4 linked regions of the Lepisosteus oculatus genome follow. The protein of the gene in region 3 interacts with the protein of the main gene of each other region in a pairwise test. Links are inferred from orthologs where the notes say so. Each region holds a gene or a part of one and is shown on either strand. Other genes may lie near its edges. The genes, in order: glyctk, fam168a, dtx2 and ncs1a.

What was found.
Region 1: the proteins of dtx2 (region 3) and glyctk interact in binary tests that used the Homo sapiens proteins (3 or more experiments, as listed by UniProt). The two-hybrid records come from large-scale screens. The link is inferred for Lepisosteus oculatus from reciprocal best matches to the Homo sapiens genes DTX2 and GLYCTK.
Region 2: the proteins of dtx2 (region 3) and fam168a interact in binary tests that used the Homo sapiens proteins (3 or more experiments, as listed by UniProt). The two-hybrid records come from large-scale screens. The link is inferred for Lepisosteus oculatus from reciprocal best matches to the Homo sapiens genes DTX2 and FAM168A.
Region 4: the proteins of dtx2 (region 3) and ncs1a interact in binary tests that used the Homo sapiens proteins (3 or more experiments, as listed by UniProt). The two-hybrid records come from large-scale screens. The link is inferred for Lepisosteus oculatus from reciprocal best matches to the Homo sapiens genes DTX2 and NCS1.

The regions. Positions count from the first base shown.
Region 1 is NC_090699.1:65,861,578-65,869,577, forward strand, and holds the start of glyctk (glycerate kinase), read right to left. Parts: upstream 3,058-8,000; 5' UTR 2,974-3,057; intron 2,967-2,973; exon of another isoform or gene 2,292-2,966; intron 2,186-2,291; exon of another isoform or gene 2,170-2,185; intron 806-2,169; exon of another isoform or gene 67-805; intron 1-66. Other genes in the region: wdr82 (WD repeat-containing protein 82), read left to right, coding at 3,665-3,825, 4,575-4,672, 7,750-7,816.
Region 2 is NC_090700.1:9,520,412-9,528,341, reverse strand, and holds the start of fam168a (protein FAM168A), read right to left. Parts: upstream 3,061-7,930; 5' UTR 2,830-3,060; intron 1,526-2,829; exon of another isoform or gene 1,440-1,525; intron 1,215-1,439; exon of another isoform or gene 1,194-1,214; intron 1-1,193. Other genes in the region: plekhb1 (pleckstrin homology domain-containing family B member 1), read left to right, coding at 6,949-6,985.
Region 3 is NC_090721.1:2,532,196-2,539,965, reverse strand, and holds the start of dtx2 (probable E3 ubiquitin-protein ligase DTX2), read right to left. Parts: upstream 3,065-7,770; 5' UTR 2,899-3,064; intron 2,440-2,898; exon of another isoform or gene 2,344-2,439; 5' UTR 2,265-2,343; coding exon 1,982-2,264; intron 1-1,981. UniProt on the Homo sapiens protein: Regulator of Notch signaling, a signaling pathway involved in cell-cell communications that regulates a broad spectrum of cell-fate determinations.
Region 4 is NC_090719.1:2,513,973-2,521,203, forward strand, and holds the start of ncs1a (neuronal calcium sensor 1), read right to left. Parts: upstream 3,064-7,231; 5' UTR 2,843-3,063; intron 1-2,842. UniProt on the Homo sapiens protein: Neuronal calcium sensor, regulator of G protein-coupled receptor phosphorylation in a calcium dependent manner. Directly regulates GRK1 (RHOK), but not GRK2 to GRK5. Can substitute for calmodulin. Stimulates PI4KB kinase activity.

The sequences.
Region 1 (8,000 bases), on a different chromosome or scaffold from region 3:
CCCGCTCACAGCGGCCCTACGGACGCCAGCCACACGAGTGAGAAAGTGAAGGAACTGGAGACAGACCTGAGATCCCCAGCGCACAGCACAGCGTCAGCCCACAGTGCCCAGCTCTGTCCTGTCCAGCAGCCAGTCTCCTGTGATCTGCTCTGTCCAGCAGCCTGTCTCCTGTGAACTTCTCTGTCCTATATAGTCCAGCAGCCTGTCTCCTGTGATCTTCTCTGTCCTATATAGTCCAGCAGCCTGTCTCCTGTGATCTGCTCTGTCCAGTCCAACAGCCTGTCTCCTGTGATCTGCTCTGTCCTGTCCAGTCCAGCAGCCCGTCTCCTGTGATCTGCTCTGTCCAGCAGCCTGTCTCCTGTGATCTGCTCTGTCCAGTCTAGCAGCCCGTCTCCTGTGATCTGTCCTATATAGTCCAGCAGCCTGTCTCCTGTGATCTGCCCTCTGCTCTGTGCGGCTCAGCTCTTATTGACTGAGGGATTAATGATCGACAGGCCAGCTCTGATGTAATGCTTTGCTGGACCGGGCCAGTCCAGTGAGAACAAACCGTCTTCTGCAGGTGGCTGCTGCTGCAGGCCCGGTGACACAGCTGGGCGTTCGGCACCTCCCTCGGGGGACGGAAGTGAGCCCGTCCACCCTGCTGTCCGGGCTCCGGAGCACGAACCCGCCCCAGGCCGCCCCATAGCTGGGAGCCGAAGCTCCATTACTCTTTAATCGGAATGGACAGCGCGCTATCTGCCCCCAGCTCAGAGTCCACTGAGCAACAGCCCAGCCCCTCCCCCCGTCTGTCTGCGCCGTGGGGGGGGCGGTTCTCTCCCAACTCTCTCCCCATCCCCCCCCCCCCCCAGAATGATCCGAAATCTAAACATTTTACTTGGGGTGCGATGAAAGGGACTGATCTTTTCTCCTGTCGGTGAAGGCAGTCTGTGAGCCACAGCCAAGGCCTGGTTTTCCCGGGCTCATAAAAGATCTACAGGTGAGGAGCAGACTAGATAATAATAATAATAATAAACTTTATTTTATATAGCGCCTTTAAAGGTGGCTTCTCAAAGCGCTTTACAGGATGACAATAACAATAAATAAGAAGACTACAACAATAAATAAGAAAATTTCACAAGACAGGACACAATTATAATTACAACAATACAACAATAACAATAGAGGAGACCGTGGAAGATGGTATTAAGAAGAGCAGAGGGGTGAAGAATGGAAGCAGTTAAGTAAAGGCTTTTCTGAAAAGGAGGGTTTTGAGTCTGGATTTGAAGGAGTTTAGAGAAGGTGACTCTCTAATATCCTTGGGCAAGGAGTTCCAGAGCTTGGGGGCATAGCAGGAGAAGGCCCTGTCGCCCATACAATGTAGACGGGCTTGGGGGACAGTAAGGAGGGCAGAATTTGAAGAGCGGAGGTTGCGAGGTGGGGAGTAGGGCGATAAAAGTTCAGACAGGTATTGAGGTGCCAAGCCATGTAAAGCCTTGTAGGTGAGCATGAGGATTTTAAAGTCTACGCGGAATTTGACCGGAAGCCAGTGCAAGGACTCCAGGATAGGAGTAATGTGAACACTTGCACTAGATCTGGTCAGGATTCTGGCTGCTGAATTTTGGACATACTGCAGCTTGTTCAGAGTAGATTTGGATACCCCAGGGAGCAGAGCATTGCAGTAGTCAATTCGAGAGAATACAAATATGTTGATCAGCTTTTCAGCCACAGTTAATGATAGCATAGGGCGTAGTCTTGCGATATTTCTAAGGTGAAAAAAAGATGTTTTGACAGTATGCTGTACATGTGGGTCGAATGTTAAGCCAGAATCGAATATAACCCCAAGGTTTTTCAATTTTGATTGGAGCTCAAGTACAGAGCCATCTACAGACAGGGTTACAGGACTGGCTTTACGAAGTTGATGGGGGGTACCAATAAGCATGACTTCAGTCTTGTCACAGTTAAGATGAAGGAAGTTTTGAGTCATCCAAATTTTAGATGTCTGCCGGACCCCTGCTGAGCCACACTGCAGCTGCCTGCTGGTGTCCTCACACAGGTGAGCTGTGACGACTGCCCCACAGGGTCAGCCCCCATTCAGGAGTCTGTCTAAGTCTTCCTGCAGACGTGCATGTTAGGAATATCATAACACGAATATTAAATATAAACGCTCTAGTCACTAAAGTTTAGTTTTACCTAATCTCCTTGAAGCTTGTTCCTTGAAGGTGGTGGAGGGGAGTCCCCATTACCTGTAAAGCGCTTTGAGGGGAGTGTCCAGAAAAGCGCTATATAAGTGTAAGCAATTATTATTATTATTATTGTTTGAAGAATTCCAGCAAGTTAGACGAGACCTTATTTTTCTTATCCCACGCTCGACTCCTGAAGTGTCCTCGTTCTCTCAGTCATACTCCAATCTGTCTCCATCTATAAACTCCGTATCTCTCCCAGCGTCAGGCGCCAGACTGCCTGGGCTGTCCCTCGGTCCGTTTCGTGGATCGGACCCCGGGGAACTGTTCTTTACTGCCCCGGCTCCTCTACGCCTCGGGATCAATCATGCTAAAGCGAGCCAGTCCTGCGGGAGATCGATAATGTGACATCTTCAGCTACAGTCTGTGTGAACCATGTGACAAACCCCCTATTATCTCATAAGCCACTCGCTCAAGCCTTTACTGTCCTAGAAGTGGAAAAAGTGGTTCACAATACTGTTTCGCCCCCATTGCAATATTTCTTTCTGTCCCCGGCTTGGCGATTCTAATAGTTTTTCAGTTGCTCCGGTACACTCTTTTTCCTCCTCTCAACCTCCTGCCCTATCACGCACGCCTGCTGCGTGGGGCTCTCTTCCTCCCGAGTTTTTTTTGTTTTTCTTAATATCGCCATTAAACTATTGAGGCACTTGTCCTGCCAAGCAACTCAGCCAGGCCCCGATATCCCTGCCCCTCGCACTAAACGGCACTGTCGCGGTCCCCCGAACAAAGGCGTCCGGCACGCAGGTGCACGTACCAGCGCAGCAATGCCATTTCATTCACGCTCGATCCCCTCGACTCCTCATATCCAGCCCCCCGTGAAATGTCCGCCCGGTTGCATTGTGGTACCTGTAGTCCGGCAGGGAAAGGGGGCGCTACGGCGGCCGGACAGGGCCACACACACACACACACGCGAATCTCGCAATTCACTGCGCTTGGAAAGGCAGCGAACGCCTCCCTTTCCCAGCGCTCACCCGGCCGGAGGCTGCAGCACACAACCTCGGTTTAGACGCGGGCTCTGCCTTTTAAAGCGCCTCTGCGCTCACAGGCCGGCGAGCAGCGCTCGGCCTCGGGCTTCCGATTGAGCCTCACGTCGCGAGGGGGGGGCAGCCGAACGCCGAGCACACAATGGGGCTCGTGCCCGCTTGCGCTCCCCCCGGGTGGGGGGGCGCGCGCGTGCATGCGTGCGCGCTCCTGGCGGCGGCGGCAGAAGGCGGGGCTTCCTCGCGCTCCTGGTGCTCGAGCGTGTCCCCGGCGGTTTTTTCCTTCTGCGTTTGAAAAGGAGGGAAAAAAAAAAATCAGGGTTGTTTTCCCGGGGGGCGAGGGCGGGCGAAAACCCGACGAAAAAGCCGCAGTTTCTGTTTCGGAGAGGAAGGGGGGGGGGATTTGACGCCGCGCCGGTTCCCGAGAAGCAGAGGCCGGAGAGGCCGCCGCCAGCGCGGGAGGTCATGAAGCTGACGGATAACGTGCTGCGGAGCTTTCGCGTCGCCAAGGTGTTCCGGGAGAACTCGGACAAGATCAACTGCTTCGACTTCAGCTCCAACGGCGAGACGGTCATCTCCAGCAGCGACGACGACTCCATCGTGCTGTACGACTGCCAGGAGGGAAAGTGAGTTCCCTTCTGTTGTCTCCGGCGGGGCGTGGGGGGGGCTCCTCGAGGTGAGGCCTACTGCGGGCGCCTCATCCCCGGGCTCGAGTGAAGCGCCCTGCCCGGCGGGACGGGGGGGACTGTACCGCGGGTGGCGGAGTGTGTACAGTTGAGGGGGGGGTCTCTTTTATTGAGCGTGTGAGCCTTTGAATGTCAGTCTGCATGAGCGTACGTTCCCCCCAGCGCAGTGATACGCACGCTTTACGCGCAGGTTGATGTAGCGTGCTCTGTGAGCTCCGTAGGGGCAAATGCGAAGGGGGGTGTTTCACGGAATGGGTCCCCTCCTGGCAGCTCTACGTGCGCGAAGGCTGCAGAGCCCTGACGCCGGTTTTTGTGTGTGTGTGTGTCGCGCAGCGCGGCCTCCCCGTGTCCCGGCTGCTGCGGCAGCAGTCACGCGTGTGGTGGTGTCAGGCTGCAGTGTCGGATGAGAAGCACCCCCTTTTCTTTTCTGTCCTGCTTCTCGCGTGTGCGTGGGCTGGTAACGCCAGTTGAAGTCCACCCACTGGTCATCGTTAAAAGCCTCGTAGCTAACGCCGACTTGGGTGTAGGGCGGTATCGAGTGCGCAGACTTCCCTCCTTCGCTGTCGCGGTGGCTCAGACACAGTGGGGTGGGTCAGGCTGCCCTGCGGTGGCAGCGTGTCCGTGTCCGTGCGTGGGTAACAGGGATGGTCGATCTCATTGCGCTCGCTGTCGCTCCGGCTGTGTTCCAGGCCCAAGAGGACCCTGTACAGTAAGAAGTATGGTGTGGACCTCATCAGATACACGCACGCAGCGAACACCGTGGTCTACAGCTCCAACAAAATCGACGGTACGTTTCTCCTTGAACAGCTTGCATGCTTAAGTATTGACACCCTCTGTCTTAAGTTATCTAATTCAGTAAAACGGGCTGACACCCCTATCCCTGAGCCTGGGGACCCCCCCCCCCAATCTTGAAGATTGGGGATGCTGTGTTTTTCTTGCAAAACCCAAGAGTTAAAAGGCAACTTTGTGTTTTGGAACTTGAAGCGAAGCTCAAAATTAAGTCTGTTATGGGGTGTGTTTACTAACTGCTTATACTTATATCGTGCTTTTCTGGACACTGCACTCAAAGTGGTTTACAGGCAGTGGGGATCCCCTCCACCCCCACCAGTGTGCAGCCTTTGCAAGTTTTTATTTTGGGATGAAAAGTTGCAGATTCTTATAAAGGGCAGTAGGAACTGGAAAAAAAGAGATCGAATTAATCATATTTAAGGGTTTAGTTATGTAACTGATGGCTCATCTGGAATGAAAGTCTGCAGGGTTGGGGGTCCCCTAATTTACGGTGACCATTGAGACTTGAATTGGGGATATTCTGGACTAGGGTAGAAACTCCCGCATCCAAACTCCTTAGCTGTCAAACATGGGGGAGTCCAGCAGTTAGTTCAGTCATCGCTCGTCCAGTGAGAAGATTCCAGTGGAAAGATGGAAGTCGGTTTAGATTACATCCCGGGAAACGTTGTTTATGTTTTGCAGAGTACATGTTATTCAAAACTGACCACAAACAGAAAAAGGAGCTTGTACAACACTGAGGAGAGGGGGATATTTAATGATTTTGAAAGGAGAAAAAAAATGATCCGACTGTGCTGTCAGTTTACGCGTGAGGAGAATGCAGCCTAGCTTGTTCCTGCAGACGGGGATCTCAGCCTACACCCGGCAGTTTCAGGGTAGTTCTGTTTTCTTATTTTGGAGGTTTGTGTGTACAGCTTCCAAACCAAGTTAAGAAAGGAGCATTGTGTTTATCAGTGAAATTGCTCAAGGGTATCACTTCAGGGTTACGTTTTTAATGCAACACTGTTGCAAGACAAGGGAGTATAACTTTGTGTGGTTCGGTGGAGCGACAACAAAGTACATTTTATGTAAAATAACTGTTGTCAGCTTGTGTGTATCTTCTTAGGCTGCACCCTTTCCCCCAGATCCTAACTGTCATAGAGTTAAAGTGCTAGAGAAGGTAAACGATGCAAGTGAAGCCTCTGGGCTGGGATATTTTAACTGAGGTTAATTATGTACTGTAGTGATGAACGTGCAGTTCTGTGAGTATTCTCCACTGCATTTCTGTGGAACTTATACTGTAGGCCTTCTAGTAATTGCTGGGTCTCAAGTTATCCTTGGGTGTTCGAAAAGCACTATTGTTCTGGGGGTCTGTTTTTTAAATCTGGGGTTCCAACCAGTGCCTGCCCCCCCCCCCCCCCCCCCAGATACCTGTACAGTGAGGCTACAGCATCTGTCAGAAAAATAATGGGCTTCGCTCATCCACCTTCCTGCCGTTTCCTCTGGCTTACAGAAGTCTGCTGCTGCCTCTGTTTAATACCTTTTCTTGTCAGCAATAAAAGTTCAATCTGTTATGTTTTATAAGTGGAACAAAGCGAGCTCTGTACTACAAGGTGAAGCCTTAAAGCCTTGGAAGGAGAAAAGCCTTCAAGAGCTCTGACATCCTTGACATAGCATAGCAAGCTTTTCTGAAAGCTTTTCTACTGGAGGCCAGTGCTATTTTGTGTCCAAACTATTGCAGCATTATGGGGTTTTAATGCTTGTCCAGTATATCCACACGCTGGAGTACTCGCCGCAGGAGTTGAAGGTTACTTCAGTTCCATCAACCCCCCCAGAAGAAGAGACTACAGGGAGGACGGCTTGTGTCCAGGTCTGGAGGAAGCCCGGGGGTTCCTTCGAAGGAGTGCTGCTGACCCCAGCCTGCCCCGGGCTGAGGTAGTTGTTTGTACAGTTTGAGGGTCTGTGATACCACCCGGTAATGGAGCTAACTGTACAGGCCACTGCCTTGCCCGGGGCAGCGCCTTCGTCTCCGGCAGCCTGCAGCGCCTGAACATCGTATGGACTCCTGACCGCCGGCCGGCGCCGCTGTCTCCGGCCGCGGGAGCAGCGCCACAACAGGCCGCTGCGTCTCGTATCCGCGGAGCCCGCGACTCCCTGCCGGAGTGGCCGTGGTTTTTCTGGAAGGGAGCAAAGCCAGACTCCGTGTGTTACAGACTCCGAAAGGAAGGTCCTACTCTGCCGTGAAACTGCAGCGTCTTTAGTGTTTAATAACGTTTTGTTATGGGGGCCTTTAATGTGCTGAGGCTTGCTGGGAGAGTGGGGGGGGGAAATGGCTTTTATTGCATCGTGCAAAAGTCTGAGACATGTTGTAGTGTAGTAGCCTTTTCTCTCGATGCTCATTCTCTGTGCAGGAAAATTAAGTGGTAAGACTTTCCCTGACATTTTATCCAAGTTATTTTAAGATGACAGGGATGTTGATAGATCAGTATTGTATTGTAATACTGATTCAATCTTTTTCTTTGATAGACGTCAACATGTGTTCCTCCCCAGACCTTAAAATGAGGCAGTCAGATCCGAGTGGTAGATGTGATAGATTAGCTACCTCAGCACTGTGTGTAGTTGGCTTTGAGGTGTTGAGTTTTTTTTGAAGATTTTGATGAGTGTGAATTAAAGATTCATAAATGACAGTCTGGGTTTCTTCTCGACCCAACAGGACTGCATGGGTAAGGGCTGTATTATAGTAGAAAATGCTGATGTTGATCTTTAATAAAATAATACGCGTAGATTGTAACTCTGGATTGTGTCTAGTATGTTAAAGAGTTTTGCACGGGACACAGTATCTTTATAAAACACCACAGGTACAAGACAGGCTGCACTGCTCTGACACTGAATTAGCCACCTTCTTCTGGCCTGATCAGAGGCAGAGCAAGGGGATACAGATTTTCCCTGATTGACATTAATAAAGAGTACCCTTCCCATACGAAGATCCCATGAAAGTATGTATTTGTTGTGCTCGTGTCATAATTGCATTAAGGCTTTGTTTTTTTGCCATTTTCAAGTGAGTTTTTATGTTTTAATAACTCTCTCCGTTTCCCTTAGACACCATTCGGTATCTGTCGCTCCATGACAACAAATACATTCGCTATTTCCCTGGACACAATAAGAGGTGAGACTTGGACTTCTTCGCTAATTCTAGCTGGGAGTGGTTTGATGTAACAAAACTGGTTGTTCCAAATTAACACAGGTTTTCCTCCAGCAAAAATCTGGCCTAGTTCTGCTGTCTTTGCTCTGTTTTATTGTTAGGTGTGTTGATTGCGGGCATGTTTACTTTGATGTGGAGAAATTACTTA
Region 2 (7,930 bases), on a different chromosome or scaffold from region 3:
AATCAAATTCTGTGCTGCATTAAGAATGAATCTCAATTTAAAGGTCTGTGAATAGACTTTAAAATGTCTATTCATATATTATAAAATATGAATCCAAGCTCATCTTTGAAGAACACTGAAATGTTGGGCAGCTGGCTCTTAAGAGCACGTGTACATAGGTTTATATATTCATTCACATGCATTTGCTACTTCAAAACATAATTATATCTAAATTAAGAATTCTAACGTAAAATCTACTGTCAGAAAAAAATTCTACTTAAAACGTCAACAGTAACACAAAGCATCTCCTTTAAGATTTTACCTTTGACGACCAGTTTTACATAGCGCCCTCTTGTGTTTCACTAAGGATGCAGACAGCTGTCAACTAAGCAAGTCTGACAGATCTGTATGAACAGTACAAACTAATACTTTTCCAGACTTTTCTTAGCTAGTAGTGAGCAACATAAAAATATGTTCCCATGTACTTGACTGGTACTTCAAGGGAATGCCTCACAAAATCAAACACCTGCACCCAATAATGCATTCATTACATTACAATAATGACAATCTCTGATCACCAGTATTAAGTACAGAAAATTGCACAGATTCCTAATGATGCACAAAATCAAAGTGTTCTGAACCAAGCCACCACCTGTAAGTACTTGTCTCTTTTGATACAGCCAGTGTCAAAAGCAATTTCTAAAAACAATAGACCTGGAATATTTAAAATAATACTGCCTATAAAAAATAATCTGCCACATATTAATGATGTTGTGAAGACAGATCTCAACCTTACATTTGCCTCCCACTCCGACAATACCTACCTCACTATTTAACCATCCTTAACGAGGACCGTTAGCAGTGGACTTCAAAGACAATACTAATTGTTTAGCGCCAATCCAGTATTTACAAGGCAGGCGCACAGATAACTATTCAGCAAACCTTCCCGTGTGAAGAGGTTTGTCATGAACTAGGCCTTAGAAGTGTCAGCCACCTCTCTCTCTCTCTCGCACATCACCTAAGAAGGACTGTACGTGCCGAGACTCCCAGTAACTGAGCGATTAAACAAAGAGGGAAAAACATCAGCTGCGTGTTATGGAGCTGCATTCCAAGACAACAAAGCATCCTGCTTTAAAAATCACGCCTGTTAGAACACGCCTCAGAGGTGAAACCAGATTCATTAATTTCCGTTCATTACAATTCAAGTTACCTACCAGTTCTGCATCTGTGGCTGTAACCTGGAAGTTACAAAAACAGCGTTGGGTTTTTTTAAAAGATAAAATATCAAATATTGTACCCCATTGTAGTTGATTTATCTTTTCTGAAACTTCCACGCAATTAAAATAAGTCATTAAAGGAGAACCTACGATTCCAAGTAGTGAAACGCAACAAAGGTCTTACGATCGCACTGATTGTGTGCAACGTACTGGAAAAAAATGTTTTAATATATATATACTTACAAAACACTTGCAGTAACTTGTCGAAGGAACCCGAACTCGTCTATCACTGCGACATGTTTCAAGTATTTTTCGAGGAACACCTCGTTATTATGCAAAATGTTTTTTAAAAAAAAAGCACGATAAAGGGGCACGTGGTTCCATGATTTACTAGTTAATTCATTGTTGCCTCGCACTGGCCTCCTTTACCAGAACTGCAAATAATAAACTAGTTCATACTATACAATTAAAGCACAATCAATCACTACACAAGGATGCCCAGTGGTATGTAGACGCCATAGAGCAATCGTGTGTTGTCCATCAAAACCCCGTAACCTAACTTAATGTAACATCGTAAAGAAATTAATGTTTTTAACAATATTAACTCAATCTTCAGAGTCAAGGGAATGTGTTATATACTGCCACTGAATCAACGATGACTAGCTAGATGATCACTTTGCTGACATCCTCGACGGTTTTTGACGTAAATAAATGTGTTCCCTATTACATTGTTTCTCAAAGGTCGAAAACATTTGGATTTAGAAATGTCACAATTACATAGTCCGCGGCGCAGTTGACGCCAACACGTAGTAATAATGTATCCTACATCCCCTCTGTTTTCGTTTTGAAACAGATCTTCTAAACATAGTGTTTACTAATAAAAAATATGTATCAATAAACTCCAGGTATATGTTTAAATGCTCGAAATAACGCAAAAAGGAACCATCGTAGACGTTGCAGAAGTATTTTCCTGACCTCCTTAAAATACTAAAACGCACTAAAAGAAAAAAAAAAGGTTTGTCTTAACATCTGCCCTAAATTAAAATAAGACTGTGATGCAGCCCTGCTCTGTTCGTGTTTTTTTTTTAGCGATGGCTTCGCCTTAATGGCATATCTGTTTTGTCTCCTTAATCTTTATGCACCATATTTCTGGGAGAAAAAAAAATGCAGCACTCAGAAATCCACTCCGTTTTAAAATGGTCACACACGGGCTCCCGACACCATTTTGAGAAGCACCCTCCTTCAACTGGGATGAGGGCACGGAACACATTTTGTAAAAAGTCTACCCCCCAAAAAAAAGTCAGAACACGGACAATTCCATTGCATTCATTGAACATTTGCATCTCTGTGTATCCCTCAGTGTGTACAGTATCTTCTGCCTGTGTGTTAACGTGATGGAAGGAGAGCACACAACACGATAGCTAATGTCCTATAAGTAATATATTTTTTTTTTAATTTTTGTGATCGTTATGTCCTTTATCCCCCTCTGACCCCTCAATGCGCGAACCATTTCCATTTCTCATATTTTCCAGTTTGCATGACTGCATTCCAGGTTTGGACACTTAAGAGGGGAAAAAAAAAACGCATTAGCAGGATACACACAGACCATCAACACACAGCGATCCTCTCTTACCCGTGGTAATCCAGTTGGATTGATCGACTTTATTCCCAGTTTCCTCTGACTCTTTCCGAGCACTACTGTGTTGTGCGTATTCTCCTTTCTCTCTATGAACGCTGGCGGTTTCCTCCTCTCGCTCGCTTTGCTCCAGCGATTTCGGGCTTGCAGTCAGTGTTGGTAACAGAGACACACGCATACACAATGTGGGGGATGGGGATACCGAGAGGCGAGGGAGGGGGGAGAAAGGAGAGGAAGGGGGGGTCAAGCAAATTGGAGGAGGACCTTTTCTCTGTGACGTCAAATTACACGAACAAACAGAGACTGTTCCCCCCTCCCCCTTCTCTGTCCCTTCGCGTATCATGGCGCACACTAGTGACGTGGTCGTGGACATGGGGGAAACTAGCGCCTTTCAAGCAAATTGCTGTGTGCATCATTTTTAATCAGTGGGACAATGACGTTGAGCTTGTTTTTTTAATATATGACTTTAGTAGTCTTTCTAGGAGTGTTTCAACGAGACGCTGTTCTTTTTTATAGCCTGGGAAATGTCCTCCCCGAGCATGAAATTAGTTCGTTTTGCGACGAACAGCCATGTTATATATGTGTTACATTTTAATGGCCATTTTGTATTATGTGTCAGAGGATCCATGACGCGGGCGTGATCGTGGAAAAAAAAAAAGAACCACGTCCCGGGTGGATGTTAGAAGACATTGTGTTCTAGAACAGGGGGCTCCTACCCACTCGAGCTTTTCTTTTCATTGAATCCTTCATTGAACTAGCGAACTGCTTGGCTGAAACCTTTGCAAGTTATTTATTTCTTCGCAAAAGCTGGAAGGGGAAACAGTTAATGGGTTCACGTAAATCGTGTCAATTAGGGGTTCGGTTATGTGACTGGGAATGAAGAACTAGGATATGTAGGACCCAATACTTTTTGTATGTAAAACCTGAGACAGAATCTAGTAAGGAGGACACAGGGTGTAGACTCTTTAAATTCACCCCATTTTTGGCCAGATAAGTGATCTACTTAACGTTTTATTGTCCTTGAGAGCTGAAACAAATTGTATTAATTTTATTTTATCCATCATCATCATCAATCTTGGATGAACGTATACTGCACCAGCGGTCACATCGCTTATGGGTTGTGCTTGCAGTGGTCTTTGCAGGGACAATATCAATTGAAAAGCAGCCACCCTCTACGACTAGGTGCGCCAGCAATTCATAAAGCAGATTGAAAAATAATATTTCTACCGATCCTTTAAATACGTTTGAAGCAGAGTGCACATATTTGTAATATCTGAAAATACCAAGATGTGTCTGTTATTATCTCATCCAAACATGACCAATGGGGTCTGTTGCAGAAAAGAAATACTATCAGACTAGAAAGCAAGCGCAGTGCCCAGGTGAGACAAACCCCGACGTTTTCAGATTCCGAGTGGTTATTGGGAGATCATAAACAGTTTATTAGAGCAATCAACTGAACTCACAACACATCGGGCAGATTTTAAGAGCAGATCTTGAGCACTGCTTGAGCGTGTGCTCGCTCTAATTGATTTAATCAGGACTTAATACCGTAAAAAATCTTCAACATCGTTTAAAAGCAATTCAGTTAATCTAGACGTGAATGTTTTGATTAAGTTTAGCAAAAAAATATGCAAAACTGAAGCCACGTTTGACCTGACTCAAAATATTATGACATAGATATGACGGTAAATTTAGCTTTTTTCAGGCTTTAGAGCCACAGAAGACCAATATTGCGTTATCACCCCTGTGTGGTCAATAATGGAAGCGGATTTTGAGACTTATTTCCTGCAGAGGATTCACACTGTAACGGAATAGAATCAATTGCCAGTGTGTGTTCTGCACAGAAAATCCACAGTCCCTTTGAGCATATTTAACTTTTGTCTATTTAAGATTTAATTATAAATCCAGTAATGACTTCAAAACACACAGAGTGGCGTAAAGTGCACCTTTTCTAAAAAAAAAACATAATCCAGGTAACTCTCTATGGTGTTCATTAATCTCATTATTTTTGGCAACGAACGAACGGTTTTGGCAATTTCTACGAGGTCTGAGTGAGCATTTGGTGAGCGTCCTCTTGTGGCAGAGATGTGTACTACAAAAGACAAATCTTCATCACTGTGCTAAAGGCCTAAACCCTTTGATCTCTTTATTTTGGCCCGCTGCCCAGAAATGGATAAACGAGGCAGACAGCCCACAATTTTATTCTCTATAGAGACCTCCGAAGTCTGACCTTTTCGTTTGTTCAGGACATCAGACGTTTGAAATCAAGCAAACCATAGATATCCTGAAAGAATAACCAGATTCACTGCAGGGGACATGAGTCAAGGATACATTTGATAAGCTGCAAGCTGTGGCTGTCTGTGTGTCCTGAGCCTACCACAGATCTGACCGCTGAACAATTAATAGCACTTGAATGGCAGCACTGATTACATTAAGACATTAAGATATCATACTGACTAGGTGTAGACTCCCTGAAGATTTAATACATAAGTCTTTTATTTTGCAGCACTAAATCTGCAAAACGTATGGAAGATTACAGTAAGATACACATTTAGAGCCTCTTGTGATAAACCATCTAATATTCTATGTCTTTATTATCAACCTCAACACACAAGGTATTTCCAATGATATAAACATCTAGTAATTTAAACTCTCAGGGTAAAATAGCCCTTTTTTCTGCAAAAAAGAAGGAATAATAGTTCACACTGCATGTTCTGCACTGGAAATGAAATGGTGTGACAGTTTGCTAAAACAGAAGAACTGGATTTGTAGTGTTGGAATACTTGGGAGTCTTCAGTGTTTGGTACCTTGTTGTTAAAAAGTGTGGTAAAACTTCATTTACAACAGCTTCAACATATTGCCTTGTGGACTCCAGTGATTCACCGGTCAGATAGTGCTCTTTTCTTATTTTTGCAGAGCTGCACTCTTGATTTGCATTAGGTTTTGCCGCACATCGATTGGCCTCTGCTTAGTTTATTCATCATTTTTCCATTCTATTCAGCTACCTTGACTATAGAAATAGTTCTAAAATGCCCAAATGGAGCAAAATAGTAACAGATAAAGTCATCAAGAATGTAGGAACGTGGTCATGTGAGTCCAGTATTTGTGACAACCTGATGAGTCATTTGAATTGTATTAGTCAGGGATTTACAACATAAGAGCTTAATGACCCAACCTTACAAGACTTGTCTTCTTTCTGTATCTCAGGTGGTCTCTACTGTACATACAGTGCATGCTGGGATTTGTATTTGTTTAAAATTACTTAACTTCATCTTCATATCTTTCATAGTCACGTCTTTTTTTTCCATTTACTGTAAGTTCCATTTTATTTCCAAACCTCATAGCCTACAAAACCTTAAACAAAAACTACACTCTGAGTTACATCCATATAAGTAACTTTTAATATAAAATGCAATTTTAAGAATGCCTAACACTTTCCATGGATTGAGTGCTAATTTAATGTCAGTTTGATTCACCGTTTCATTTATTTCATGTTTCATACCTAGGTCATGTGCCTCTGGTTAACATCCATACCAGCTGCACAGAGGCATTTACCAGATCTACCTTCCAAAATATTTTACATCAACATGCAGTCAGTGCAATAGCAAAAATGAGAAATGGCCCAGCCTCTCCCAAAACAAATGTATTGTAAAAGCATCGAAATAAAGTGTGTCTAAATTAGGGCTGAAATATATGATATTATTGTTGCTTTTAGGTTTAGTGTGTATGATCTACGGTTAGCAAGGAAATCTAAATGGAAGCTCTAAACAGAAGCTCTACGTCGGTTCTAAATCTGGAACTTGCGGAGGAAGACCAGGGCTGTTTGTGCAGGAAAGTTCCAGGCTTTTCTCAATGTCCACAGGCTAATGCAGGTCACTAATCCCGCATTATCCCACGTGTCAGCAGCGAGATTAAAGGGAGCCTCAGAGAGACCCAGAAGAAAACAAAGAGTCGCAGTCTTTCCTTCTCTGGGACCATTTCCCCGATTAGCAGAACTGTGCAACCAGGGAGCAAAACCCTAGAATAGTCATCAACATCAAAAGGAGATCTTCCCGACACGTTTTCCCACTGTTCATCGTCACACTTTAAAGGCGACGTTAGGTATAATTTCCCCAGATGGCTCTCATGAGGTCAGGATGGCTTTGGAGACAAAGTAAGTGGACATTTGATTTATCGTTAACTGTCTTAACTGCTTTGATTAGTTTTCCTCTAGTTGAAGTGTATGATGCTTAATTAACAATAGGGGACAGAACATTATTGCTCTACAAGCTGTAAGAAAACATGAAGTAGTACCACAAAAAGAAATAGAACATAAAGTTCAGATAATGTAAAACAACTCGAATAGAGAACTCTATACTCTAGCAGTGCGGCACATGATTCCTTTCAAAGTAGTGTTTTTATAGATAAACCAAACACGAGGGTTTTTTAAATACCAAAAATAAGAATATAATTTTTGAAAATTTAATTCATGTAAATTTTGTATACAAAGGTAAAGGCTGACACAAGATATGTTTTGTAAGGATGAATTATATACTGACAGACAATAAAAACACATCACGTGCTATTGGTCCCAGTACACATTTGGTACATATTGTAATGCCTCTCAATACAAACAAAGTTACAGTAGTTATACAATGAAAGGATGTGAATAAGAAAACATCAGTCATACTACTTTTGTTATTCCTATAATGGTCATGAAAATCCAGTTATCAAAGGATGAGTATTTTGTTATAACCTTGGGAAGGGTGATAGCTCCATTAAGTTTAAAGGAATGTAAAAAATGAGGGTCATCAGTTATGAAACCGGCACCCTTATGACCCGATGCTAATCCTATTACTTATTTGTGACAAAGGCTGAAGAAAAATATTAAAGGAGGAAGCCAGCCAGCAACATCGCCCAAAGGGATGGAGATTACATAATTTTAGTAATTTATCAAGAAATAGACTAGTGTGTGGCACGATGACGCAGTGGCTAGCATTGCTGCCTTGTAGCACTGGGATCCTGGGTTGCAATCTGGGTGGAGTTTGTAAGTTCAGCCTATGATTGTGTGGGTTTCCTGCAGGTGCTGTTATTTTCTTCCACAGTCCTAAGACTTACT
Region 3 (7,770 bases):
AAAGAAAAAAAAGTGGATGGATATTAAATGTTTAATAATCTAATGAGAATTTAAAAAATGAAGCATGCAGTTTGTTTGTTTTTCTTTCCTCATATTAATGATTTCAAATTTCAGGAACAAGAAACCAACCAAAAAATGACCTTTCAAAAGATGATAAAAATGCTATCTTCTGTTTTTGAAGACATTTTTCACTTTTTTTAGGCATATCAGAAATGGTTTTCTATATCTAAAAGGCTTAGGGAACTTATCTGTTGTGTTACATTAAGACCCATGCAATTATCTGCTCTGAGCACTGTCACTATTGTGCATCACCTATCGGTCCCAGTCAAAAGTTACCTGCTACTAGGTTTTTTCCACCCACACAATCTTTGAAACTCTTATTATCTAATCAGAGGTCAACTGCCTCACAAATTTCTGCTTCTACTCAGAAAGAGCCACATGGTCAGATCAAGCAGGACTGACCATTGGTATAAGCTGATGGTCTTTTTGGACAAGTGCTGTGTTCAATAGGACTAAAACAAGCCACAACACTAATCCTCTGCAATCATGGCACTGATTAGAAAAATCAAAGGACATTGGTTGTAATCCTGTTTCAACCTAAGGAAAGCAGAAATTACCAAGACCAATGCTGCAGCAAAAAGTAAACTTGATGGCATAAATGTTGGGGTCAGAGGGAGTCTTTTCCTAGGCTGCAAAATCTACACTTCCATCAATACAAGCTGCCTGTGCTTGCAGAATCGTCTCTTTCTAGTGTGCGAAAGGCTGCTGATCCCCACCAATAGACTGTTTTGGGCTTCCTGCTATGTTCAGATGCTGAAGTTAATGTAGTTTGGATTTCCTGCGGTTTTTCTGTAGCTTCCCGTCTGCACCAAGCAGGTGGCAGCAAGCACCCTGCTCCAAGCCACTCGTGTGCCAGTAACAAGCCCTCAGAACAAAGACGCACTCCAGTGCTGCACACTGCCTCCTCGCCAGCACACGCAGGCCTCTTTGTTTCAGGTCCTCTGTGCATTTACTGCAGTTTCCATCATACCTCCACCCATTCAGTGGTGAACTAAACATTCTGGGACTTTTTTTTCTTTTGCTAAGGAATCTTAACTAATTAACACATTTGCTTACATACTTCCTTTGTTGTCCCAGATAGGAAATATGCTCTGGGGGTAGGTAGAAGACATAATATAACAACACACAATACACTTAACACAACATGAAAGCATTAACAAGAAACATACAGTACATGCACAAGATGAGAACAAGTCAGCACCTTAAGCAATCTTCACCATTTAGAAAAACAAAGAAATTGGGCCATCAGATTTGGACACCATAGTAACTGATCTGTTTGAACAGCTGGGGTCCCTCCAGTGATGTGTGTGAAATATGCACTCTTGAGCTCTTCCCCACTGATGAGACTGCAGTCTGGTGATCTCTTGCCATCCTGAAAGTTACCGATGTCACAGGAATCTCAGCTGAAATAGATTTTATAGCTGAGAAATACGACTGGTTTATTATTTTTTAATTTCCATCCGTCTTTCAGCTTGCAGTTGGCTCTTTGATGGGCAAAAGTTAAAACTGACAAACACCACTCAGTAGGCCTATATTGTATAGCCTGCCGAACTAACTGCACTATTTTCTCAACTGAGCTGAAAACTTAGTAAAGGATCCTGCTTCCTTGTATACACTGACGCTGCTGTACCTACAGACGGGCACCATTGCTGATGAAGTGCTAGATTTGTAAGATTAAACACTGGAAATTTAAAAAAAAAACACACTGAACGTCTACAGAGCTAAAAGACATTGACAGAGTCATTACGTCACTGACGATTACTCAGTAACGTTGAGAAGAAAAAGGACGGGGAATCCCAGGAGACTCAGTCAATTCCAAATTACACGAATTGCCAAGAGAAAGGTTGGTCACATTCCGGCGCAACCCAGAGGCGCAGGGGCACTAACCAACGCTTCTAAATGAAGAACCACAGCCACTTACCCGTGTCTTGGCGAAACTGTTTCAGACTGGGGATGTCGATGATGTAGGGCGCCAGGGCAGGGTCAGCCTGTCCCAGGGAGATGCTGGTGTTCGCCGGCCCCCCGCCCCGCTGGGTCAGGAGGCACCGCTCAATGTACCCGCTCACTTGGCCACTGTACGGGCGCCAGTACCCCAGGTCGTCCGCCCACTCCCAGACAGCCACCGTCGGCTGCAGCTGCGCCGCCGAGCCCCGGTCGGCTGGGGGTCCCGACCCGCTACCGCCCGGAGCGGAAGCCGCCGCCATCTCCACCCGAGCCGGGCTGCGGTACAGACGGCAACTTCTCCTCCTCGGCCGTGCAAGACTCGCTGAGCTGGACTACGCGCTGCAATCATGAAACAGGAGTCGCAGATCACCGAGACCAGACCCAACTTGCGACACCGTCAACGCGTCCGAAACTGCTCATCCTTCGCGTAGCTCACTGGCAGATTAAAAAAAAAACAGCCTGGTTAATCGTTTAGGATAAAACGTCATTTAGAACTGTTCACCGGGTTAATCGTGTATTGCCCTTTCAGTCGAATGCATGCGATAAAATAGCCAGTGCGCTATTCACGACACCTCTGCCCTGTCGCCTGTGCTGTCCACAAGCGAACCGAACCGAAACTCAATTTAAATGGAAACAGCAAGTTACCCTACACGTCCTGAACGGCTGTCATCACTCGAGTGACTCAAGCACGCCACAGCCGGAAAATAATAGAAACTATTACAGCACGTATACCTAGATTTAAACTTGCTACAACAATTTAAACACCCAATACCCAACTTCAATGCTATCCATTCTGAGCTCCTGTCTCTGTAGCGCTGTAGCTATGTAAACAATTTACACAGGCAGTATCATAGGAAGTCTCCCCCTTAACTAAAAAAAACAACACAAATATACCATTAATAAAACGAAATGCAAAACTACAGCTTCCAACACAAGGCTGATTTCAAGGAATAAACACACGCGTCGTTTTGCGAGCTCTTCCGACAGCTGTACTAAACTCGTTTCCAGTTTTCTCACGGATCTCATATCGGAAACACCCGTCCGAGCTGCAGACAGAGGTTTCTGGGAACTGTAGTCGTAGAACTGTAGTCGACTGTAGTCGCAACGGCGCAGGAAAAGTACGTCACTGCTGTGTTACCCCCAGGACAGCGGTATGAGGAATCATGATAAATTAGGCTCTGGTGTTTCCAATGATAAATTACATATCTTTATTTGCTGTAGTTATTTCAGAACCCTTTTGTCTTTTCTTGTCCCCACTATGAGAGACATTAACATCTGCTACCAAAAGAAAAATAGTGTTAGAATAAGAGTTTTCATTCAATCAAGTGTGTTTTGTAACATCATGGAAACGAATTTACAATATAACAAGATAAAATTACAACTACAGAGACAAGTGTACACTAATTAACATATCAATTAATTAGTGTAGACTAAACAGAACAACATGCAAATTAAACAGAATTGAATTCAATTTTCCATTGAAAAAATGCATTTTAATTTTAGTTAAGACCCAGGCAGGTGAGATCTTAACATGCTGCAACTTGTTAAGGCCATGTTTGGATACATCAGCAAACAGATTGACAGCTACAGGGTAAACAAGGAGAGTATATGCTCAATCCAGTGAGTTTAGATGTAAAAAACCTTGTTGCATCTATTTGTTAATCTAATCTAATCAGTTTAAGAAGATTGTAGTATTTACAGATGTTTTGTCAGTACCTCCATGATTTCAAACACTGTATCAGCTTATGTCATAAAACAGTGCATAAAAAATCATCCTGCGGTCTTGAAACAAGCCTTTCCACATTCATTCTCATTGAGTGTTCGGTGTGTCTGGGTTTCTGGCGCAGATTAAATGACATCTGTGAATAAGGCTCCATTCAAGCAGGCGTCAGTCCCAGACATGGGCTCGCTCTGTCCACGTCTGTCTGCAGTTCCTGAACTTGTTTCCCTGCCCTGGATGGACGATTGAATAGCACTCACTGTGCAAGCCACACTCTGTCCACTTCATTTGCTTCCACAGACTGCAGCACAGTTCTGTGAACCCACACGTATCAGATACAGGGCTAAGGTAAGGAATATACTGTAACTGCGCACTAATTCCCACATTTCAGTGTGTCTTCACAATCATCTCTTTCTGAAAGGCTTATTCTAGGCATATCTATATCTAGGAACAAGTAACAGGTTTATTCCATGCTGAAAAAAAGAAGAAAGAGAACACAGCGTTTCGGCCGTGGAGCCTTCTTCAGGTATGAACTTCAGGCGAGCAGGCTCCACGGCTGAAACGTTGTGTTCTCTTTCTTCTTTTTTTCAGCATGGAATAAACCTATTACTTGTTCCTTTGCAGCCTACGCATGCTGACGCAGCTACCCACCTGAACTACTAATATCTATATCTATATATGGAAAACCTGGACAAACGCATTCTTTCATGGATGGTCTAACCTATTTCTGCAGATTCCTGCCTCAGAGATTTCAGGTCAAATGTTGCATTTTCAAAATCTAACAGACAGAGCAAATAACTAAACCCTATTGTATTGGGAATCTCAGGACACATGCATGGCTGCTCTCCAAGGAGTATTGCATAAAGGACAAAATGTTCATGCAAAAATCAGGAAAAGCAAGCACTGAGGTGTACAGGAAATAAAACACTGGGATGGGAACTTGAAAGATACGAAAATGCAGGAATAATGCCTGCTGGGAAAAGTGAGCAATGGCACAGAGGTTAGTGGGATATCTTGTTAGCTCTGAAAACAGAAGATAAACTGATTTTAATCCACAATTGTACAGTTCTCAATGGTATCAACCCAAATGACTACTTCAGTTATATCAGTAACTTTAGAAAACCTCACACTTTTGTTACATTAGCTTGAGAAACTGGAGTGTCTGTCTCTGAGCGATCCACAAATTTTAAAAAACAGGAAAAAAAGGAAAAACATGAAAGGTGGGAGAATGCATAAATTATTCATGTGTATGGCAGACAGTGATATTATTATCAAGGACTTTTAACTAGGTGGTAAAAATAGTTTCTTTACCTGTATTAGTGCTTTATTTTTATTTACAGCCTCCAGTCTCAGCTACGAAAGAGGTTTTTACATAAAGACTGATGTAGCTGAGCTTTAAATGTTGAATTAAATTCCTTACACCTCAGGGTGTTTTTTTATCTGACATTTGACTGAAAACCCTAGGGATGCTCTGACATGGGTTGTATCTACTGTACATATGGCAACTGCTCTGTGATACAGCACTACAATTCCCTGTGGTTTGCTTGCTTATATCACCTGATGCAGTTTCAAGTCTGCCCTGCTGTGTTAGTATTTCATGTACTCTATGGGGTTCTGCAGCTGTTTCTCCTGAGGTGAAGAAGATATTTAACTGTGAAATTGCATAAAGGGTTTGGGAGTACGATTTAATGTGTAATGGATGGACTGCAGAGCACTCAACAAAACAATGTAATTTTCCTGGCTGCGATGGAAACAATTCATTAGCTACATTTCTATTAAAAGACCATCGTAAGAGAAAGAAAGTACTTGTGGTTATTAATAACAGGCTATGGGAATGGGCCAAAGGAGAAAAATAAAAAACATCACTTTTACGGTGATTCAGACTGGGTCACTAGGGACTTATTTGTCTGTAAACAGCATCTGGAATGCAATCCCCGAGTTTTGCATCTCTCCTCTTAAAGCTCTCCTTAACAAATTTCAAGCGGACTTGCTCTCAGAGTTACTGGGCTTTCTTAGCCTTTGACAGCCTCTCACTCTCTCTGTCTGGAAGACAGTAATCCACAGTATATTATAGAAGCTGTAATCATGTTGCAGATACTGTAAATAAGATCTAGTCCTCACATCTTCGCCAGTTCAGTCAAGCATGGCTTGGTTAATATTTAGAAGTTGAATTTTTAAACTAAGTAGAGTTTGCATGTTCTCCCTGTGATCAAGTGGATTTTTTCAGAATCCCCCTTTCAAAATAAGAATAAACATCTGACTAACTAGAACTGTACTCTTTCACTTTCTTTTTGTGGGGGGAGGGGCTCCTGTTTTCACAGGGAATATTTTTTGATTATGGCAGGAATAGTCTGCTTCATTAAACAAAGGAAAAGTTGGACGCGTTACAAGCATAACTTCAAATATGTGATATATTGTTCTGTTAATAAAGGAAGAAAACAGATCTTGGCGATTATAACAAAGTAAACTTTCAAGTTTATTGGCTAACACACACCGAAATAGAATCATCAAGACCTCATAAATGTCTGTTGGATTGAACATTTTGCTAATTATCTACACTACATTCATACATTTTATGCTGGGAATCTTCATATGGTGTAGCCAGTTATCGATACACCTCAAGCGGTGCTGAGCTCATTTTGATTTCATCTAAGAAATCCCAAGAATCACCTCAAAAATATGTCTAGTCTACAGATTTACTTTCTCAGCACAAGCTGAACCTTTTACAAAGAAATAATTAGCCTCCCTTCATAATTCATGGAAGAAAATATTCTGAAGTTCTCAAATGGCAGATCAGGTATTACAAATTAAATGAATAAACTGATGATCATCAAACAAACTCCAGAGAAATTTATAATGGGATTTAGACATTTGACTATAGCTTTTTTTGTAAGCAGACGTATTTCCATTTATATGCACATAGAAATAGTGCTGAATGTTGGTTAAGGGGCTGGATAAAATCAATATGGATTTAATGATTTTCATTTTAGTAGATTGCTTTCCTCTACTGACAAAAGTGCCGCCACATTTTAAATACTGTACATTTCCTGCCCATAAAACTGCGTAAATATTTAAAAAATCTTCAATCTAGAAATGGATACAATTTGGGCTCAGTAATAAAGATATGACTTTAGTAAAAATATGTATGTGTTTTAACTACAGGAATCTGGTTAATCTAATATAATCCATCACTGGTTCACTTGCTTCATGATTTATTAAGGATGATGGAGAAATCAAAATTCGAACCTAAACCGTTGCTTTCCTCCGGCTTCAGATTTGAGATCTACAGTGAATATCACTCTTTAGGAAGCTTGAAATGCACACATTTTATGTAGCAATAACCCACTGCCCTTCATGACATCAGACCTCAGACCTCACCAGAGAAAAATGTGCTGTAGGATTCTAATGAAAAAAATTGTGATTGGTGTAGCCTTTTTAAATGAAATATTTTACTGCGCTCTACCTTAATATAATTGAAGGCAAAAGTATGACATTAAAATGGTGTAAGACGTACAGAATATAGCATACAAATAACCTCTTTAGAATTATAAGGATGAAAGCATATTACATTTTACACTATCATAAAAAATCAGGTTAATCACAATAAGGGTCTACAGATCTAACCCTTTGTTCCTCTGTTCTTATGATTAGAAGCAGACAGTGTGTCAGAGTAACTCCATGCACACTAGTTCCAGTCAAGAGTGGACACAACAGGCAGCCAAACTCCAGACAGTGAATCTCCAAAGGAAAAAATCCAACACTTGCATAGAAAATGTAATTGTATTTATTAAATATACTATGTTATACATAAAATGGGAATGCTTTACAAATTCAGACATCTTTATACATTTTTGTTTATAGCAGCATCATAAAAATACATAAGCCACTTACAGAAAGGACAAGTAGGACAAATGTACAAAGAAAACACCACTGCCTAGAACTTTACTCAGCTTTAGCTGATAAATGCTAAGACTATGGGCTACTACGTGAAAACTAGATACATACCGGTATAGTATAGCATCTACAGTACTACATTAACTGTAAAC
Region 4 (7,231 bases), on a different chromosome or scaffold from region 3:
GTTGGCGAAGTGGGTCCGCACCAGCGCTTCCCAGCCTCCGCGACCGCCGATCCCTCCTCGTCTCCGCTGCCAGCTGCCAGCGAGCCTCAGGCGGAGCGCCGTCCTGACATCAGACGCTCCCGCCGCTGCCGGCCGGGGACGGGCTGGGAGTTAACCCCTCCCGGCCCGGCGCCCAGCCGTGCGCCCCTAACGAGCGCGGACAGCCCGGCTGGGAGAGGCGAGTGGGAGCGCTCGTTTCCCCAAGGCGAGTAACTTACTCGCCTTAGTTCTGGGGGTGGGCGACGAGACGATGTAACGCGTGGATACCTCAGCAATAACGCAGCGGGTGTTTTCTGCGTTTTGAGATCAAGAAAACTTGCCTTCGTGGGCATTGTTGACACACCTGGACCTGTATGTAGTGGGGGGGGGAGGCGGTATCGGATGCCTTAGAAATGTCAGATGGCGGTCAAGCGGATCGAGAGCCCGGGAGGAACAGGGGTCCCCGGGCCGGGAGTATAGTTCTCCGACGCGCAGCAGTATTCATCGCCACAGGAGCCCGAACCTATTAGGTTAATGGGTCACTGAGACATGACGGCGGCATCACGTACTCTGTTATCCAGGGTTGTCAGGCTCCAGTGTTTTTTTTTAATAAAAAGTGTATTATTCGTGTTTTTTCTTTCACTTAATCCCCCCAACGCCCGTTGGCGTAGTGTGTGTGTGTGGAGGGAGGGTGTCTTCCCCACAGCGCACTGAAGTCTTTCTTTTCTTCAGTGGCGCACACAAAGCCGATATTAAAACCCCGCTCATTGTTCGCTCTGTGAACGCAAGCAGCGCTCCCGACATAAAAACAGGGCTGATGGAAGGAAAAAAAAAAGATTTTTTTTTTTCTGAACCGATTTCGCGCAGGAAGGCTTTTGAGTTGTTCTGCGCGTCAGCGTGCCATTTTCAAGAGCCGCCCACACGCAGTATTCCCGTAAAGAGGACCCCAAAAATATCCCGGGGTTTGACAGCCTATTATTTTCAGAATGTAGGCGGGTGGGGGGGGGGAGAAGGGACCCCCGTTAAACCCAGCTTAAAATTAAAACGGGCTAATTAAGCTGCACAAACAGGAGGTGTATTAGCCGCACAGATGGGCCCTGATGAAAAGGAACTGAACCACACGGCAGAGATACTGCTCGGAGAAACACCAGCTGGGGACGGTCGCCAGCGTCTTTTTATTTGCTGAGCTGCCAGGACTTTCCGACATTCCCTCACTAAATCACTGTGTTTTATGGAGCAAGTCACGCTCTTCCTAAACGCCGGATTTACCGCTCAGAACCCCGACAGCCGGCGAGGGCGGGAGATCGATGGCCGACAGCAGAGTCACGTGACGGGGCGCCATTTTGTTTTGTTTTTTTTGGGGGGGAGGGCTCGGGCCCGAACGCCCCATGGCCTTAGGTGGGGCTGTTGCGACTCGGGCGCTGTCCATGAGCTGCCTGCCGAAGGTCTTGATGATGTCGCGCAGGGAGCAGGGTTGTCGACTCACTCACGCGTGACATCAAGGGGGCCACAAAGAGTGAAGAGCCTCATGCGGCTGCCCGGACCATCGGGTACCAAACGTCAGGACCCCGTAGCGCCCAGCCCCCTCCGTACCGCCGTCTTGAGCGCCCTGTACAATCTGCACGGGCCCCTCCGACACACAACGCTCAGCCCAGAACCGCGCGGCCAGGCGAGCGCATCGCGGCCGAGGAAGAGGAGGCTGAGCAGGAGCTGCTGTCTGCAGTCATTAAAACCAGCTCGGGGGGGGATTAAGCAGGCACCCCAGTTGGGGGGGACTGGGGGGGATGTGCCCAGCTCCGTCCCCCTTGCGGATTTCGATCCCGGACACCTCCGGGTCCAGAGACGCGACACACCCGGAACCCCGGGCGCAGGAGGACCCCCAATGTCAGCCAGGATGGCGCGCGGGTGACGTCGCCCCCAGCCCACCGCAGGCCCGAGCTCCCAGCTGCGCACACCTGTCGCCCGCCGTCTGCCAGCTCAACTCATCGCTCCTGTGCTGCCGATCCCCATCCCTGCCTCAGGCTGGCTCCGACGGTAATGGCTTGTTAAAAATAGAACTCCCCAACTCGCAGGACCAGCTTTTCAGAGCCGTCTTCTTCCTCCGGCGGAAACGTTCCCCCCCCCCCTGCCCGTTTCCTCTCTCCCAAGGTAGAGCACGGCTGAAGCGACACGCAAAACATTCATTCACAGCTGCGACGTCTCGGACCTGCCCTGCCCTGGTGTTAAGCTCACCGATCCGCCACTGAACATACCACTGAACAAAAACGGCAGCCATTTTTCCCTTGGTGGCAGCCAGCCGCAGACTCTTTCACTGGGAACAGCCACAAGAGTCTCCTGACTCCCTGGAATTGGACACGGGGACCTCGGTCGCCAATGAACGTCTGTACCCCTGGAGAGACACCCCCCCATGGAAAACCACGACCAAGCAAGCCCTGATTTATGGTGGTCGACTCTCCTGAGGACTCGGCCATTTGTATCTAGGCAGGTCTTGCCAAGGATAGATATGCAAAACATCACTGCCATGTGCATCTGCAGTATCGCACAGGAATACCCAATCGTGGCCCAGGAGGACCGGTGCGTCTGCAGCTCTTCTGTCCAAATCGGCTCGTTTTTTATTATCTCAACCAGACTCATTTAGCCATGTCTCCCAGGACCTTGGGTGCTGGAGTCTCAGAATTTAAGAGAGGTGTGGCCCCTCCCGGACTCAGGAATGAGTGGCGTTGCTGTAGCGCAGGGGGGGGGGATCCAGATATAAACCCAGGGCCTGCCTTAATTTAAGGGGGTGCCCAGAATCGAGGAGAGTCAGGATCCCTGGATCACTCACCTGCACATACAGCCAGGCGTCTTCAGGACCTGGGGTCATCCTGGGGTCAGAGGTCACCTTCCGTCTTTGGATCACTGGCAGCCATGAGCACGGGGCGAGGTCTGGGTACATGGTCACCTGACCAGGCTGAGGGTAGGGTACCGAGGGTAGTGCCCATACAGGATCTGCCCCCTGGCAGGGTGCTGCACCTGCATCTCTGGTGAGATTGGGCAGGGAAGAAAGATCCTTCTGGGTGTTTCTGCAGCATATTTTTCCTACTGGCCAAAACAGAGAGAATTAGAACAGGGCCCCCTTTGAGACAAGAGAGACGCAGACAAACCAAGGCCGGGCAAATGAAATCAATCAATTGATCAATTAATCAGTTTGCATTTTTAAAGAGACGCCCTTTCTTGCCCTTCGAATCGTCGTCATGGTTATCCGCACAGGGGTCAGAGACACAGGCTCGTCACCCATCACTGCTTCGGAGAGAGAAGGTCTCTCCAGTTCTCGAACGCGGGGGGACCGAGACGCACTGGGGCCCGACCTGCCAGGAACAAGAACTAAAATGATAGGACGGAACAGGAGGGAGCAGACAAACGGAGCTCCCGTTCCTGTTCCCATTTCTGGGGTGCAGCACCTGCGTTGGGGGAACCTGTTCGTGCCGACAGGCAGGCAGGTCACATCTCCGACAGCCCCTCTAAAACACCCCGCCCCGCTAGACCCTTGCTGAAGAGAAGCCCCTGCAGGTGTCCCACACAGCTTCCTGCCTGCCGTTAATTACTCCCTGGACATTCTTGGTCTCCTTCTAATGGTGCTCGTTAATAAAGTCATCGTAAAGGAGGGGGATGGGGGGGGGGGGGAGACAAATGGACTTGTCAGCAGAATGTCTTAGAATACCACCGCTCCTGCTCATTTAGAGATGTAATAAGATTTTTTTTTTTGTAAAAAAAAAAAAGATTTATTTTGTCTCTGGCACCTGCTGCTGCTGCTGCTGCTCAAACCGAGCCCCCCCGGCGGTTCTGCGCCGCAGCGCTCCTCCGGCGAGCCCCCGCCAGCGTTGCGCCCCCCCCCCCCGCACCCTGTGGGCCAGGGACCCAGCCGGGACGGCGGCGGTGAGCGCGATCCGCCCTCGGACAGGGACATCGGCAGCGCGGGAGTTCACTGCAAGGGTTCTGGGTGAGGGATGACTTCATCGTTGCAGCGCGAGAGCGATATCGAATTTCTTCCGTACTGCAGGCTGCGACGGGTGGGGGGGGGGGTTTGAGAGCAAGATGTTTCGTGGGGGGGGGGGTGTTGGAGACACGGTGTCGGTCATTAAGCGGAGACATGTTTTGTGTGGGGAGCTACCTGGAGCGCATCCCCTCGCTAAGAGACGTGACGGACAGCACAGCTCCACATCATCCGAGCGCCGGGAAAGGAGGTGGCGGGGGGGGGGGTTGTACAGAGGATGGGATGCTTCAGAGCTGGGGAGGGGAGGGGGTATTTGTATGCAAGTCAGGAACCTACTCCTCTTGTGTCCTGTCGTCTGATTCAGGCTTGCACACTGACCGCATTCCAAATGCTCTGCCCTGCAAGAAGTGGGGAAAAAAAAAGACACCTGCACAGCCTCTCTGAAGGCATGATCTTGAATGGTGCATTCACAACATCACTTATGTTTAAAACCTATGTTCATCTTTAGCAATTATCCGATATAAATCCAGTTTATAAGCACTTGCTATACTGAAGCGTCTTCAGGACATTGTCTTATCTTTAAGCGTGCCGATGTCTTACTCAAAGGCAAATACTGTTTATAATATTATTACTATTATATTAATTGCTTTATTTTTAATGCATATGAATTTAAATTTATATTGCTTAATTATTCATAATCATTTATTTAGCGCTTTTCTGGACACTCCACTCAAAGTGCTTTACAGGTAACGGGACATCCCACTTCCGCCACCAATGTGCAGCCCCACCTGGATGATGCGACAGCAGCCATAGTGCGCCAGTACGCTACTGTCTGGCACCTGTGGGAAAGTGGAAAATCTGTACATAAAGGGAAACGGATGCTTAGCTGCAAAACTTGCTGCATGAGAAACCGTTTTAATTAAGTTCCTGTTTAGCTCAGCTAAGCACAGTAAGAAAGGGCTTTGCATGGAGCCTAAAGGCACGTGTTTAATTATGAAACTCAACTGTGCTTGGCACACATCTCAGAATACGTATTTGTGGCCTTCAGCTACTTTGTTGTTGCAATTTGTTTTCTATCGTTGGATACGGTAACCGAATGTATCAATATTTATACGGCGTTCTTGTTCTGAATGTAAGAAAAGAGCCTTGCGTGTGCTACCATCTGAATGCTAGTCATGTCAGTCAAGATTGGTTCGATTGACTTGACAAAAGAGCAAAACGACACTCGGGAGACATGTTATTGGGCCATGGAGCAAATATAAGCAGATCTGTGTGCTCAGGATTTAGTTTGAAGTCGATTCTCAGTACCTAGCTAAACAATCGAGGGTGGTCTGAATGCACGTTCATGCTCACAGATGCTGTGCAAAGCACGCACTATGCAAGGAGCCTGCTGACCTTCGACCTTTCAACCTTTATGACTACTAATGAGCAGACAAGAACAACATGTCACACAGCAGCCTAACTACTGAGAGGACAGGCCTGCTGCCCGGGGTGCAGACCTCATCTGAACTCATCCTTTTTTACTTCTGGATTCTAGAATCCAGCCTGACTGATACACAGCAGCAAACAGCAAGTACAGCCAAAAGTTAATTCATTTAATCTGAATGAGGTGGAACACAACATAACTGCTTATTCAATTCAAGGTCATAGTGACCCAGAGTCTATCCCAAGGAGCAGCAGGTGCAAGGAGGGATACACACTAGATAGGACACAAGTCCATAGCTAGGAACACACACCAGGGCCAATTTTGCAGAAGCTAATTACCCTACCAGCTCGTCTTTGGACTGTGGGAGGACATACAAACTCCATGCAGACAGCACCCCAGGAATTGAACCCAGGACCCCAGCGCTGAGGCAGCAATACTCACCACTGTGCCGCTGTGCCACTCCATCAATAAAATAGTTTGATAAAGAACAAACTCTGCACAACAACGTCAAAATGCCTGAACCCCCCCACCCCCCCCACACACACACACACAAAATCTGAAATGCTTAAATACCGTTTGGGATTGTTAACGCTGAGCAGTCATCTGTCAAACCACCATCGGCAAAGTAACAAACTTGAACAAAAAGAGTCTTCACAATTAACACGTGGCAGCTCTGAAGTTTATTTCTCTTATCTAAAGTTAGCATTTTAAAAATATCACAGTTCTACGCTGCAAACGGTTCACTCTTGGGAAATTTTTGAAGCATGAAGAACACAGCAAATTATTAAATTAGTCTTTCGAGTTTCAAGTTTCTCACCCCCCGCCCGCCCCCTACAGTGTGGGTGAAATGGAGCTCCAGGACGAGTATATTTCAAAGCTGTGCTCAGCCATCCTGCAGTGGGGGGGGGGCGGCTGAGCCCTCTGCTCCAGCCCAGGACCTGGCGGACTGGACACCAGGAGGCAGGGAGGACAGAGCCAGAGAGAAACTGGAACGAGCCAACTGCGTTAGCAGAAGAGCCAGCAGTGTTGGCCGTCTGCTGAGATGCTTCCACTCTATCTCAAGCCGGCCACGGAGCAAAACTGTCAAAAACATCAGGGGGGCGGGGGAGTGGGCAGGCTTTTCCCCACAGAAAATCCCGCCCAGAGAAACACTCGTCTCCCCGCTGCCCAAACTTCGGCAGCTATTTACACTGTAAATCTGGACAACAACAACAAAAAAAAAAAGAAAACTCTCGAGTTTTTAATAAATATGCTTCCACAACACTCCCGTCATTGGCATGTCAGTGCGCGCTGGGAGGTCCACAGCCGAGACCGGTCCGAACCGTTGTCGCGTTTCACTGGGGGGTGTTTCCTGATGAACGATGCATTGTTGCAGCGTGCACAGACGTCCACACTTTTAAGAGAGTTGACTCAAACCGACTGCGGTAAAGAATTTGTACCTGACTGATGTGGCAAAAGAAGGACAGGAATCTGATTATGCAGCGCCTTCAAGCAGAGGAGCGATCTTTCCAAACTGCCTCCCGACTGACGGCTACGTCGCTGCAGTGCTTATCCGGTCCCCTGAGCTGTCCCTTGAACACTGCGCTAACGTGCAATTCGCTGCAAAGCCTCTGGTGGTTTTCGCACCCTGAGGCAGCATGCCACTTCCACCACCACAGCGGGATTCTGGAGTGCCACGCTGCAGTTCTTGGGGAAGAAGGTCCCCTGGCTCCAGTCCTGTCGCCACACCCAGACGGGTGTTCGGTCTCGCTGAGGTGGTGCGCTGGCGGTCTGGCCGGTTTCCCAGCTCTCCTGCGTGGGGCCAATCCCGAAAG